4 linked regions of the Saccharomyces cerevisiae S288C genome follow. The gene in region 2 interacts genetically with the main gene of each other region. Each region holds a gene or a part of one and is shown on either strand. Other genes may lie near its edges. The genes, in order: BUD25, MGP12, CBS1 and RRG9.

Region 1 (3,470 bases), on a different chromosome or scaffold from region 2:
ACGGATCTAACACACAAGCTATGATTGATAATATGCGCGGAAAGTCAAGAAGTAAAAAAACTGAGAACCTGCACCAATCTTTAACTGGCTGCCTTAACGACTACTCAAATGCGTTTGGAAAAGACAGGTCAAAGTTATTAGACTTATCCAACACGCTAAAGAAATATCCCATGTTGGGTCTTGCTGGGGGACTAGAAACGTTTCCCAAGATAGTCAGAAATGCTTTGAACGAATTTAAAAACGTCAAAATAGTTACTGGGAACCCGGTTACGCAAATAATGAAACGCCCTGCTAACGAAACGACAATCGGATTGAAAGCGAAATCTGGCGACCAATACGAAACATTTGACCATTTAAGACTTACGATAACACCTCCCAAAATCGCTAAATTGCTACCGAAGGATCAAAATTCATTATCCAAGTTATTAGATGAGATACAATCAAACACAATAATTTTAGTTAATTATTATTTGCCAAACAAAGATGTAATAGATGCCGATCTACAAGGCTTTGGATACTTGGTTCCCAAATCCAATAAGAATCCAGGGAAATTGCTTGGTGTAATTTTCGATTCTGTTATCGAAAGGAATTTCAAACCACTTTTTGACAAACTCTCCACAAACCCAAACGCCCTCAACAAATATACAAAAGTGACTGCGATGATAGGAGGTTGTATGCTCAATGAACACGGTGTTCCTGTAGTGCCATCCAGGGAGGTAACCATTAATGCAGTCAAAGATGCGCTGAACAACCACCTCGGCATCAGTAACAAGGATCTGGAAGCTGGTCAGTGGGAATTCACTATCGCCGATAGATGTCTGCCAAGATTTCATGTAGGTTATGACGCATGGCAAGAAAGAGCTGAAAGGAAGTTGCAAGAATCTTACGGCCAAACAGTTTCTGTGGGGGGAATGGGATTTTCTAGAAGTCCCGGTGTCCCTGACGTTATTGTAGACGGCTTTAACGACGCCTTACAGCTAAGCAAATAAGTACGTATATATATGGTTAGCTTTACGCAAACTACTTCTTTTGACAATTGAGGCAGTTATCAGCTAATAAGAAAAAGTAGTTAGTATCAAAAGACACAATTTATTTATATTAACCAAATTTTTCAGAACATCCTCCGGACCGTCAGTCTTTAACGCCGAGCCGCCGATGATGGGTTGGAGTCAAAACGAGGGAACTCAATATTAATTGCGGAGTTGAGCGATGATGGGTTGGAACTATATAAAGCATCGGAAACGCATGGCTAAGGGAAGTGGAAGAATGCAGGTTACAAAAAACGGATAAGAACAAACTTGTTTCGAAATATGGCCGCTCCAGATTATGCACTTACCGATTTAATTGAATCGGATCCTCGTTTCGAAAGTTTGAAGACAAGATTAGCCGGTTACACCAAAGGCTCTGATGAATATATTGAAGAGCTATACTCTCAATTACCACTGACCAGCTATCCCAGGTACAAAACATTTTTAAAGAAACAGGCGGTTGCCATTTCGAATCCGGATAATGAAGCTGGTTTTAGCTCGATTTATAGGAGTTCTCTTTCTTCTGAAAATCTAGTGAGCTGTGTGGATAAAAACTTAAGAACTGCATACGATCACTTCATGTTTTCTGCAAGGAGATGGCCTCAACGTGACTGTTTAGGTTCAAGGCCAATTGATAAAGCCACAGGCACCTGGGAGGAAACATTCCGTTTCGAGTCGTACTCCACGGTATCTAAAAGATGTCATAATATCGGAAGTGGTATATTGTCTTTGGTAAACACGAAAAGGAAACGTCCTTTGGAAGCCAATGATTTTGTTGTTGCTATCTTATCACACAACAACCCTGAATGGATCCTAACAGATTTGGCCTGTCAGGCCTATTCTCTAACTAACACGGCTTTGTACGAAACATTAGGTCCAAACACCTCCGAGTACATATTGAATTTAACCGAGGCCCCCATTCTGATTTTTGCAAAATCAAATATGTATCATGTATTGAAGATGGTGCCTGATATGAAATTTGTTAATACTTTGGTTTGTATGGATGAATTAACTCATGACGAGCTCCGTATGCTAAATGAATCGTTGCTACCCGTTAAGTGCAACTCTCTCAATGAAAAAATCACATTTTTTTCATTGGAGCAGGTAGAACAAGTTGGTTGCTTTAACAAAATTCCTGCAATTCCACCTACCCCAGATTCCTTGTATACTATTTCGTTTACTTCTGGTACTACAGGTTTACCTAAAGGTGTGGAAATGTCTCACAGAAACATTGCGTCTGGGATAGCATTTGCTTTTTCTACCTTCAGAATACCGCCAGATAAAAGAAACCAACAGTTATATGATATGTGTTTTTTGCCATTGGCTCATATTTTTGAAAGAATGGTTATTGCGTATGATCTAGCCATCGGGTTTGGAATAGGCTTCTTACATAAACCAGACCCAACTGTATTGGTAGAGGATTTGAAGATTTTGAAACCTTACGCGGTTGCCCTGGTTCCTAGAATATTAACACGGTTTGAAGCCGGTATAAAAAACGCTTTGGATAAATCGACTGTCCAGAGGAACGTAGCAAATACTATATTGGATTCTAAATCGGCCAGATTTACCGCAAGAGGTGGTCCAGATAAATCGATTATGAATTTTCTAGTTTATCATCGCGTATTGATTGATAAAATCAGAGACTCTTTAGGTTTGTCCAATAACTCGTTTATAATTACCGGATCAGCTCCCATATCTAAAGATACCTTACTATTTTTAAGAAGTGCCTTGGATATTGGTATAAGACAGGGCTACGGCTTAACTGAAACTTTTGCTGGTGTCTGTTTAAGCGAACCGTTTGAAAAAGATGTCGGATCTTGTGGTGCCATAGGTATTTCTGCAGAATGTAGATTGAAGTCTGTTCCAGAAATGGGTTACCATGCCGACAAGGATTTAAAAGGTGAACTGCAAATTCGTGGCCCACAGGTTTTTGAAAGATATTTTAAAAATCCGAATGAAACTTCAAAAGCCGTTGACCAAGATGGTTGGTTTTCCACGGGAGATGTTGCATTTATCGATGGAAAAGGTCGCATCAGCGTCATTGATCGAGTCAAGAACTTTTTCAAGCTAGCACATGGTGAATATATTGCTCCAGAGAAAATCGAAAATATTTATTTATCATCATGCCCCTATATCACGCAAATATTTGTCTTTGGAGATCCTTTAAAGACATTTTTAGTTGGCATCGTTGGTGTTGATGTTGATGCAGCGCAACCGATTTTAGCTGCAAAGCACCCAGAGGTGAAAACGTGGACTAAGGAAGTGCTAGTAGAAAACTTAAATCGTAATAAAAAGCTAAGGAAGGAATTTTTAAACAAAATTAATAAATGCACCGATGGGCTACAAGGATTCGAAAAATTGCATAACATCAAAGTCGGACTTGAGCCTTTAACTCTCGAGGATGATGTTGTGACGCCAACTTTTAAAATAAAGCGTGCCAAA
Region 2 (2,694 bases):
AAAAATGCTACGACGTCCAACTTATTTCCTAATAACTCTGCTGCCATTCACTCTCCTATGAAAAAGTGTCCTAAGGTGGATCATATAAGTAAGTCAAGAATTAATTCATCCAAAGAAACATCCAAATTTAACGATGAGTTCGATCTTTCTTCATCATCAAATGACGACCTAGAGTTAACCAACCCTTCCCCAATCCAAATTAAACCAGTGAGAGGAAAAATCAAGAAGGGTTCAAATTGCATGAAACCTCCAATTTCTTCAAGAAAAAAATTACTACTAGTAGAAGACGAAGACCAGTCATTAAAAATAAGCAAGAAAAGGAGAAGGAAATAGAGGATAATGGAAAATTTGAAATCGTTTTGTGCGAATACATTTCATTTTGTTCCCTGCGTAAGAAGTATGCATAGTAAAATTAGCGTAGATATAGTTTTTTGAGGTATATACTTATTCATAGCTTATAAATATTTACAGTGTTGTAACTCTAGTAAAAACAAAAGAGGTCATCTAGATTGCATTCTCCTTATTTTATCACTGATATCGTCTTCTTCAAGAAAGTGCAGGATCTTGGTGCACGACTTAGGATCACCAACTTTCTCAATATGAAGTACTGGTATGTCGAAGCAATATTCCTTCCACCATTTTGCGTTTCTTCGGTCAGTTATGTTGACTATCTCTAGTGAAACTGCTTTATTATGAAATTCCTTTCTTTCAAATACATCATCTATCACTTCCTTTGCTTGATCGCATAACCCACAATTAGGCTTTGAGAAGAAAGTTAATTTCACTCCAGCATCATGTAACAATACCCTCGAAGTATGTATAGAACAGCGGAACGCTCTCAACATGGTGATATGTTCCTTAAGTTTTATGTCTTACTGAATAATTACGAATTTCTGTTATGAATTAAACGAAACTTTACAATGCATCAACTCCGAACTCTCTACGGAAAGGTAACAACTTGCGCACATCATAGACCCATAAAGCGAAAAAAAGGGAAGTCAATCACAGTTATATTGACATTCCAAAGCCAGTAACTAAAAAACTACAAAAATGGATTCTCACAGTCATATTAAGTGACCTCTTATTATTTCCCTTAAAACGGTAATTCTTAATAAAGAACGTCAGTGTTCCGAGTGATAACGCCGTGAAGCACCCTGCTTCATTACATATGAAATCGTGGGGAGAAAAAATCGTGAAAACAATATAGAGAATAAGTGAAGTTGAAGCTCCACAAGCCCTTGTAAAGTAAACTTAGATTGAAGCGATGGTATTAACGAGGCAAGTACTAGAGGAAGTGGAGAACACATTTATTGAATTACTTAGGAGTAAAATAGGACCTCTCGTAAAATCGCACGCAGGAACAAACTTTTGTTCATATGATGATAAAGCAAATGGCGTAGATTTGGTAACTGCTTTAGACAAACAAATTGAATCTATAATCAAGGAAAATTTAACGGCCAAGTATCCCAGTTTCAAATTTATCGGAGAAGAAACTTATGTAAAAGGTGTCACGAAAATAACTAACGGCCCTACATTTATTGTTGATCCCATCGATGGTACTACTAATTTTATTCACGGTTACCCCTATAGTTGTACATCTCTAGGTTTAGCTGAAATGGGGAAGCCGGTTGTTGGTGTGGTTTTCAATCCTCACTTAAACCAACTATTCCATGCTTCCAAAGGCAATGGAGCTTTCTTAAATGATCAGGAGATAAAGGTTTCAAAAAGGCCATTGATTTTGCAAAAATCCTTAATTGCTTTAGAAGGAGGTTCGGAAAGAACTGAAGGTTCCCAAGGAAACTTTGATAAGAAAATGAATACTTATAAAAACTTACTAAGTGAGTCCGGCGCCTTTGTTCACGGGTTCAGAAGTGCAGGAAGTGCTGCCATGAACATATGCTACGTAGCGAGCGGCATGCTTGATGCTTATTGGGAAGGTGGCTGCTGGGCTTGGGATGTTTGTGCCGGTTGGTGTATTCTTGAGGAAGCAGGAGGAATAATGGTTGGCGGAAATTGTGGAGAATGGAACATTCCATTAGACAGAAGATGTTACTTGGCTATTAGAGGTGGATGTGAGTCGATGGAGCAGAAGCGATTTGCAGAATCGTTTTGGCCTCACGTTGCGGGTGAGTTAGAATACTAAATGCCCCCCTCAGGTGTCGTTAAATAAGCTACATCTAAGAAAAGTTTATATAGTACTTCACGCAATTCCTACTAGTATTTTTTTCCAGTACAGGACGATATCTTGAAGCAGCAACTTGATTTCACAGGTCACTTAGTGTGGGCTTCTGACTCAAGAATAGCAAGTATTACATGCATGCGGCCCTCTCCTTTAACAGCGCGATATACGTGAAGAAAAATTTCAATGAAGAGTAATGCGCTTATTATCAACTTCGATTGAAGGGGTCCTATATCAGTATGCTACAAGGGAAGGTTGTTCGATAAACATAAGCTTCTCATTAGCATGAGTTCTATAGATAATGACAGCGATGTGGATTTAACAGAAGATTTAGCCGTGGCCAAGATCGTTAAAGAGAATCCTGTAGCTAGAAAAATGGTTAGGTATATTTTATCGAGAGGAGAATCTCAAAATTCGATCATAACAAGAAACAAGTTACAATCTGTTATACATGAAGCTGCTCGCGAGGAAAACATAGCAAAACCGTCTTTTAGTAAAATGTTTATGGACATAAA
Region 3 (3,188 bases), 700 kb from region 2:
ATTTAGAAATGAATGGGATGATTCGTATCATTAAAAATTCATTACCCGCAGATGAAATACTAACTTCCAATGAAGATGAAATTGAAATTGATTTGGATATTTTAGATGAAGCGACTATTGCAAGAATTTATGAGAGATATTTTGAGAAAAAAAATAACAACAATAGCAAAAGAAAACTAAGTGGCAACTACTCGACTGCGCCAACTAACAAGAAAAAGAAAACCTTGAAATTTTTGGAAAAGGATGAAATCATAAATAATAATAATTATTCCGATTCTGAAGAAGACAGTAGTGATAGTAGCGACAGTGACAGTGATTAACAATCGAAATGGGCTTCATGCCCTAATTAAGGAAAAAAAGAAAAGAAAAAAAAAATTGGGAAGAATGGGGATAAAAAAGATTTGTAACATTATAAACAAAAATAAGAAATAATTGTTTTTACGTACTTATTGTAAATAAAACAAAGGGATAACGGACAAAAAGGCATCGTTTCTTTTGTACTATGATTTACGCAAATGGTAATTAATTAGAGGTATGCATATAGTTTTTATAATTGATTCAATGAATTTTTTGTTATCGTTTTTAATTTCGAGTAATTTCAGGTAACCAATAAAGGATAAGATCACTTTCCAATCGTTCAAGTTCTGAAAATCATTAGAGCTGGAAGTTAATCCCATTTCCTTCGGCAAATTGGCAGGTATTCGCAAATGAGCTAATTGGTTAATTTTCAACGAATTCTTGATAAGCCAGCTTATCGAGTCCATGTTCACTACTCGAGCTCGATCTAAGTTATGAATGTAATTGAAGTTTTTGTTCATTATATTAAACTGATTGAAATTCGTAAATGTTATTGTAAGCATCTTATTAATTTCCAAGTGAATGAGCTGTTCACCCAATTTTTGTAAAGTTTCGTTTCTTGTTTCAAATGTATTTCCTGTGCTCAAGTCTCCAGTCATTGGTACTCGTACCAACATATTCCTGCTTGTGGTATATAGCAGTTTAGTTAGTTCTTTAGTCGGTATGCGTTCCTTTCCTTTATATCCGTCAGGATTAACTTCAAGGACTTCACACAGTTTTTCTATCTTACTAATATTCTTTTTCGTCACCGTGTTTATAGTTCTGATGGGAATATACCTGCGAATCCCAGATATTCGAGCAACAGTAGTTGCAAACACTTTTGTCCTCAACATGTCGAGATTCATTATCTGATTTATTCTTTTATCCTGCTATAAAGAAACCATAGAAGAATAGAAGCAAAGGGGTAGTACGTGGCACCTCCTAAAGGTAATATTGTACTATTCCTAGTTCACTCAAGGTCTGCCTGTCTTATTCTCCACATACATTTTCTATAACTCTTTTTTTAAGTTTGTTTTTATTTTAGTTTGACACTACATAAATATGTAAAACTATTTTTTCAAATTATACAAATAGAAAATTATGATAAAGGTCAAAAAGAAAGAAAAGAATGACTTGTCTGTTTTCCTTCCCTACAAACTCTTGCAAAAGTAATCAATCGAGGCCAGCACAGAAAAAAAATAAAAGATAAATAAATAGGAATAAGAATATAATGCGAAAAACAATAGTGGTCAGGTTCGGTCAGTTCTCTTGCTTTTTCCTCTCAGCTAGCTCTGCGTAGAACTTCTCTCTCTTGTTAATCTTATCCATGTGGAATCCCCACCACCAGTAAGAGGCCATGACACCCCCGAGGGAGAACCCGAGGACGATGTCCATGATGACTCTTCTCTTGATCGTACCAGTAATTGGAGCAATAGTCATGTCTGTGTAAGTCGCTTGTAGTTAGTAGTTTGCAAATATCTTGCTTGCTCTAATTCTCGGTCCTAATTTTCCCTGAAGATAAGAGTCTCTTTCATCGATTCTTTTAATACCACAGGAACAAAGCGGGCATCGTGGTAGCGGGCCAATCAGGTTGCAGTAAATGAAGAGATATAGAGGAGGACTCTGCTAAAGACCATAACAAGGGTCTGCAATGATCTTGGACTAAATAAAGGTGTCTTACAATCCAAAAGAGCTTGAATCATTCCTTTTATGAGCTAAATAGCACCGTTTGCACCTTCTGATAACGCTTTACGGGTCACGCGCGGATTTTGACTCACATAATTCCACTTGCCCATATAAAGAGGGACTCATATGATCTTATGAAATCTTCCTTCAAGCAATTGTGAGACAACAGACGCACAAGGAAGATCGCCCAGCATGAGTATGTTATCTAGAAGATTATTTTCCACCTCTCGCCTTGCTGCTTTCAGTAAGATTAAGGTCAAACAACCCGTTGTCGAGTTGGACGGTGATGAAATGACCCGTATCATTTGGGATAAGATCAAGAAGAAATTGATTCTACCCTACTTGGACGTAGATTTGAAGTACTACGACTTATCTGTCGAATCTCGTGACGCCACCTCCGACAAGATTACTCAGGATGCTGCTGAGGCGATCAAGAAGTATGGTGTTGGTATCAAATGTGCCACCATCACTCCTGATGAAGCTCGTGTGAAGGAATTCAACCTGCACAAGATGTGGAAATCTCCTAATGGTACCATCAGAAACATTCTCGGCGGTACAGTGTTCAGAGAGCCCATTGTGATTCCTAGAATTCCTAGACTGGTCCCACGTTGGGAAAAACCAATCATTATTGGAAGACACGCCCACGGTGATCAATATAAAGCTACGGACACACTGATCCCAGGCCCAGGATCTTTGGAACTGGTCTACAAGCCATCCGACCCTACGACTGCTCAACCACAAACTTTGAAAGTGTATGACTACAAGGGCAGTGGTGTGGCCATGGCCATGTACAATACTGACGAATCCATCGAAGGGTTTGCTCATTCGTCTTTCAAGCTGGCCATTGACAAAAAGCTAAATCTTTTCTTGTCAACCAAGAACACTATTTTGAAGAAATATGACGGTCGGTTCAAAGACATTTTCCAAGAAGTTTATGAAGCTCAATATAAATCCAAATTCGAACAACTAGGGATCCACTATGAACACCGTTTAATTGATGATATGGTCGCTCAAATGATAAAATCTAAAGGTGGCTTTATCATGGCGCTAAAGAACTATGACGGTGATGTCCAATCTGACATCGTCGCTCAAGGATTTGGCTCCTTAGGTTTGATGACTTCTATCTTAGTTACACCAGACGGTAAAACTTTCGAAAGTGAAGCTGC
Region 4 (2,886 bases), on a different chromosome or scaffold from region 2:
TAATACGAGAAGATAATAGCCATTGGGCTGAAATGATTTATCAACTGCAAAATATGAAACAAGAATTACAGTATTTTAACAGATCCTCAGGCCAACCATCTGAAAGTATAGACGATTTTGTCTTTCAAATTAAGATGGTGACTGACCAGGTTGAGTTAACAGATAGGTCCCGAGCTTTCTCAAATAAATCAAGAAATATTATACAGGGAATCCGAGAAATCAAAGGTTGGTTTGTGAATGGCCAAGTGCCAAGGTAACAATCAAAAATAATAGCATTGAATTTAAAACGCTCTAGTGCACGTAACGCATCCGTCTGATCAGTGGCGAACAATACCGTTATTTTTCATAGTACCTAAGAAGACACATACCAATTTTTGCAAGTGAAAGTGCAGAAACGGTTCCACTAACGATATTACTGCATGCTCTCTATTCTAATGTACATATATATGTTCCTTTATCTACAAGAAGTTTCGTAATAATATATAAATCCCTCAAAAGTGTTATTGTTTCGAGCCCAAATGCTTCAAAATGTATAGTTTGTTGGTGTTTTTCTTTTCAGGTGTACTGTTGTTAGGCTTGAAAGGTTTAAAAGTGCGAACATTCCTTGCTATTAATTCAGGTGAATTTGAGTTGGACCCAAGTATAATCTTTCTGCTAGTAACAATTTGATTGGATACAAAATCGGCATCCTCTTTTCTTTGATACATTTCTTTTATCCGTTCTCCTCTTCTTTTCCATCTCTCGTAGGTGTTATTGTTTTCCTCATCAGTACGCTTCCAGTTGGACTTCAAAATTCTTCGAACAGCCTCGGGAGAAATTTTGAACCGGTCTGCAAGATCAGATGCTGTCAGTTCAGGAAAGTTGAATTTCAATAGTCTTAGAGCCTCCATTTGTTCCTGTGATATCTTTTTTGGTGGGTTCCACCTCTGGCCTTGCAATTTTTTTCTAACTGCCATTTTCTGCTTCTTCCACTCAGGAATGTCTTTCGTACCATCTCGTACTTTTTCTGTAAACTCTTTATTGGACAAACTCGATTTATTGACTAATTTAATAATCTTTTTGGATGACCATCCCCTGTTCTCATTGAGTAATGGACCGCAGCGCAGGCAATGAAAAGAACGACATGCTATTCGCAGAATGTTCATGCCAAGTGCTAACCAAATGATTCAGAAGGAAGTCGAAGGGAATACGTAGTGCCTTGTTAAATAGCTTACCGTGATATGAACAGTATACGATCGACTCTCCTTGGAGACTTTCTACACCATTGGTGATTGGTGTTTTAGTTCTACCATCATTTCATATTTACTAGCTTTATGATCATTTTAGACGACTGTGGGAATGTTGTTATTTTTACTAATCACTTTTACTTAGTAATGTCCCTTAAGGACAGCACTGAAAGCAAAGTAGTCAAGCACTTCATTCGAACTTGATTAGTAGAAACAAACTTCATTCTTTCTTTACGTATCCAGTCCAATAATATCTGCAGTAGTTATAGTGACTGATGAACATTTTGAAGAAGTTTATGGAGTCTGGTAACAAGCCAGAGCTCATCACGATACCTTCTGGGCAGTTTAATCTTTTGAGGTCTAAGAATTCCCCTAAAGCTGCTTTAGAATGTATTTACAACAATGCAACTTTAAGCGTACGTAAAATAGGCAAATTTGATTATGAGTTGGCGGTTTATAGGGTAGAGGACGATAGTGAAGGAGGCACGGGAGATGAGGCTGAGAATTTTGAAGACGACACCATCAGTGTTTTATCCACACAGTCTAAAAAGAAAGAAGAGGAGTGGAGCGTTGAAATATCGGATAAAATCATGTTTCACAAAACATGGGATAAACAAGGAAACGTGGCGCTTGTGTGGGAGAACTTAAGAGGTGATGAACAAGATGAAAAGGTTCAATTTGTTGTTGCCGCTGATGTGTCGTTTTCTGATGTTGAACAGTTTATCCAAACTGTTTACCGATGCCAATTCGAAGTAAGGAATAAAAAATCCTCTCTCACTGCCTCAGCAGATGACTTAAAGGAAATAGAGCATAGATCAACCAGGCTCTTTGTTCAAGATGATGATGACGAGTTAGATTCAAGCTCAGATGACTTTCAAGATGCTAAAGACACCTCTTTTGAGCACGAGAAGGAAAGTGAAATATTGGAAAGAACTCCTTCTCCATTGAAAAAAGTTCCAGAAGGGGAATATTGTTGTTTAGTGATGTCTAGCCTATACATGTATGATCCAATTCAAGAAAAATTTATTCTGCAGGAGCCCGTGGTAAAGGTAGCAATTATTGATACAGGCAAGTACGAATTTTGGCTAGCGATAGAAGGTAAAGATAATCGTCTTGGGACTCAGGTCGCCCCAAATATCAATCCTACCTTTGAATTAGCTACCGATGCCTTTCTTTTCAACTATACGCTACAAAACATTACATTGTCTTATATGTTAAAATTTAAGGACTTAGATAAGTGTATTCAATTCAGGTTTGCTTGGGTTAAATGTTTATGGATGACTTTGAACAAAGAAACGTGGACCGACGTTCCTGAAAAGGAGAAAGATTATATTTTAGATTCATCATCCGTGCCATTGGAAAAGCAATTTGATGACATTTTACACATAGATGACAGATCAAATGAGGAAAGAGATAAAGAATCAAGCGAAAGTGAAAATGATAGCGAAGATGAGGATGACGAAAACGATCACTCCAAAAGAATCATTTCATCTGAAGCCTTTGAAGAACCTAGGCGTGCGACTTCCAAAGGTAATAGTTCATTGACTGTCGCCTTTAGGAACAACAGGTCATATGTTACAAGAGATAACAGAATTGGTGTGTTCAAAACGGATGATGAAGACGATTCTCTAGAATTTGTAGCTGCCATAAAGAATATTTC

The links.
Region 1: mutations in MGP12 (region 2) and BUD25 together harm fitness more than expected from each alone (negative genetic interaction), as found in Saccharomyces cerevisiae (one large-scale study listed by BioGRID).
Region 3: mutations in MGP12 (region 2) and CBS1 together harm fitness more than expected from each alone (negative genetic interaction), as found in Saccharomyces cerevisiae (one large-scale study listed by BioGRID).
Region 4: mutations in MGP12 (region 2) and RRG9 together harm fitness more than expected from each alone (negative genetic interaction), as found in Saccharomyces cerevisiae (one large-scale study listed by BioGRID).

What each region holds. Positions count from the first base shown.
Region 1 is NC_001137.3:183,231-186,700, forward strand, and holds BUD25 (Bud25p), read right to left. Parts: upstream 1,471-3,470; coding exon 1,448-1,470; coding exon of another isoform or gene 1,311-1,447; intron 990-1,310; coding exon of another isoform or gene 940-989; coding exon 501-939; downstream 1-500. Other genes in the region: HEM14 (oxygen-dependent protoporphyrinogen oxidase), read left to right, coding at 1-989; medium-chain fatty acid-CoA ligase FAA2, read left to right, coding at 1,311-3,470. UniProt on the Saccharomyces cerevisiae protein: Involved in bud site selection. Required for resistance to the DNA-damaging agent methyl methanesulfonate (MMS).
Region 2 is NC_001136.10:1,034,731-1,037,424, forward strand, and holds MGP12 (Mgp12p), read right to left. Parts: upstream 846-2,694; coding exon 501-845; downstream 1-500. Other genes in the region: ZIP1 (Zip1p), read left to right, coding at 1-333; inositol monophosphate 1-phosphatase INM2, read left to right, coding at 1,265-2,143; Smc5-Smc6 complex subunit NSE3, read left to right, coding at 2,465-2,694.
Region 3 is NC_001136.10:332,621-335,808, forward strand, and holds CBS1 (Cbs1p), read right to left. Parts: upstream 1,191-3,188; coding exon 501-1,190; downstream 1-500. Other genes in the region: BDF2 (Bdf2p), read left to right, coding at 1-320; COX9 (cytochrome c oxidase subunit VIIa), read right to left, coding at 1,597-1,776; isocitrate dehydrogenase (NADP(+)) IDP1, read left to right, coding at 2,215-3,188. UniProt on the Saccharomyces cerevisiae protein: mRNA-specific translational activator of cytochrome b.
Region 4 is NC_001146.8:245,960-248,845, forward strand, and holds RRG9 (mitochondrial ribosome assembly protein RRG9), read right to left. Parts: upstream 1,146-2,886; coding exon 501-1,145; downstream 1-500. Other genes in the region: PEX17 (Pex17p), read left to right, coding at 1-257; VID27 (Vid27p), read left to right, coding at 1,502-2,886. UniProt on the Saccharomyces cerevisiae protein: Required for respiratory activity and maintenance and expression of the mitochondrial genome.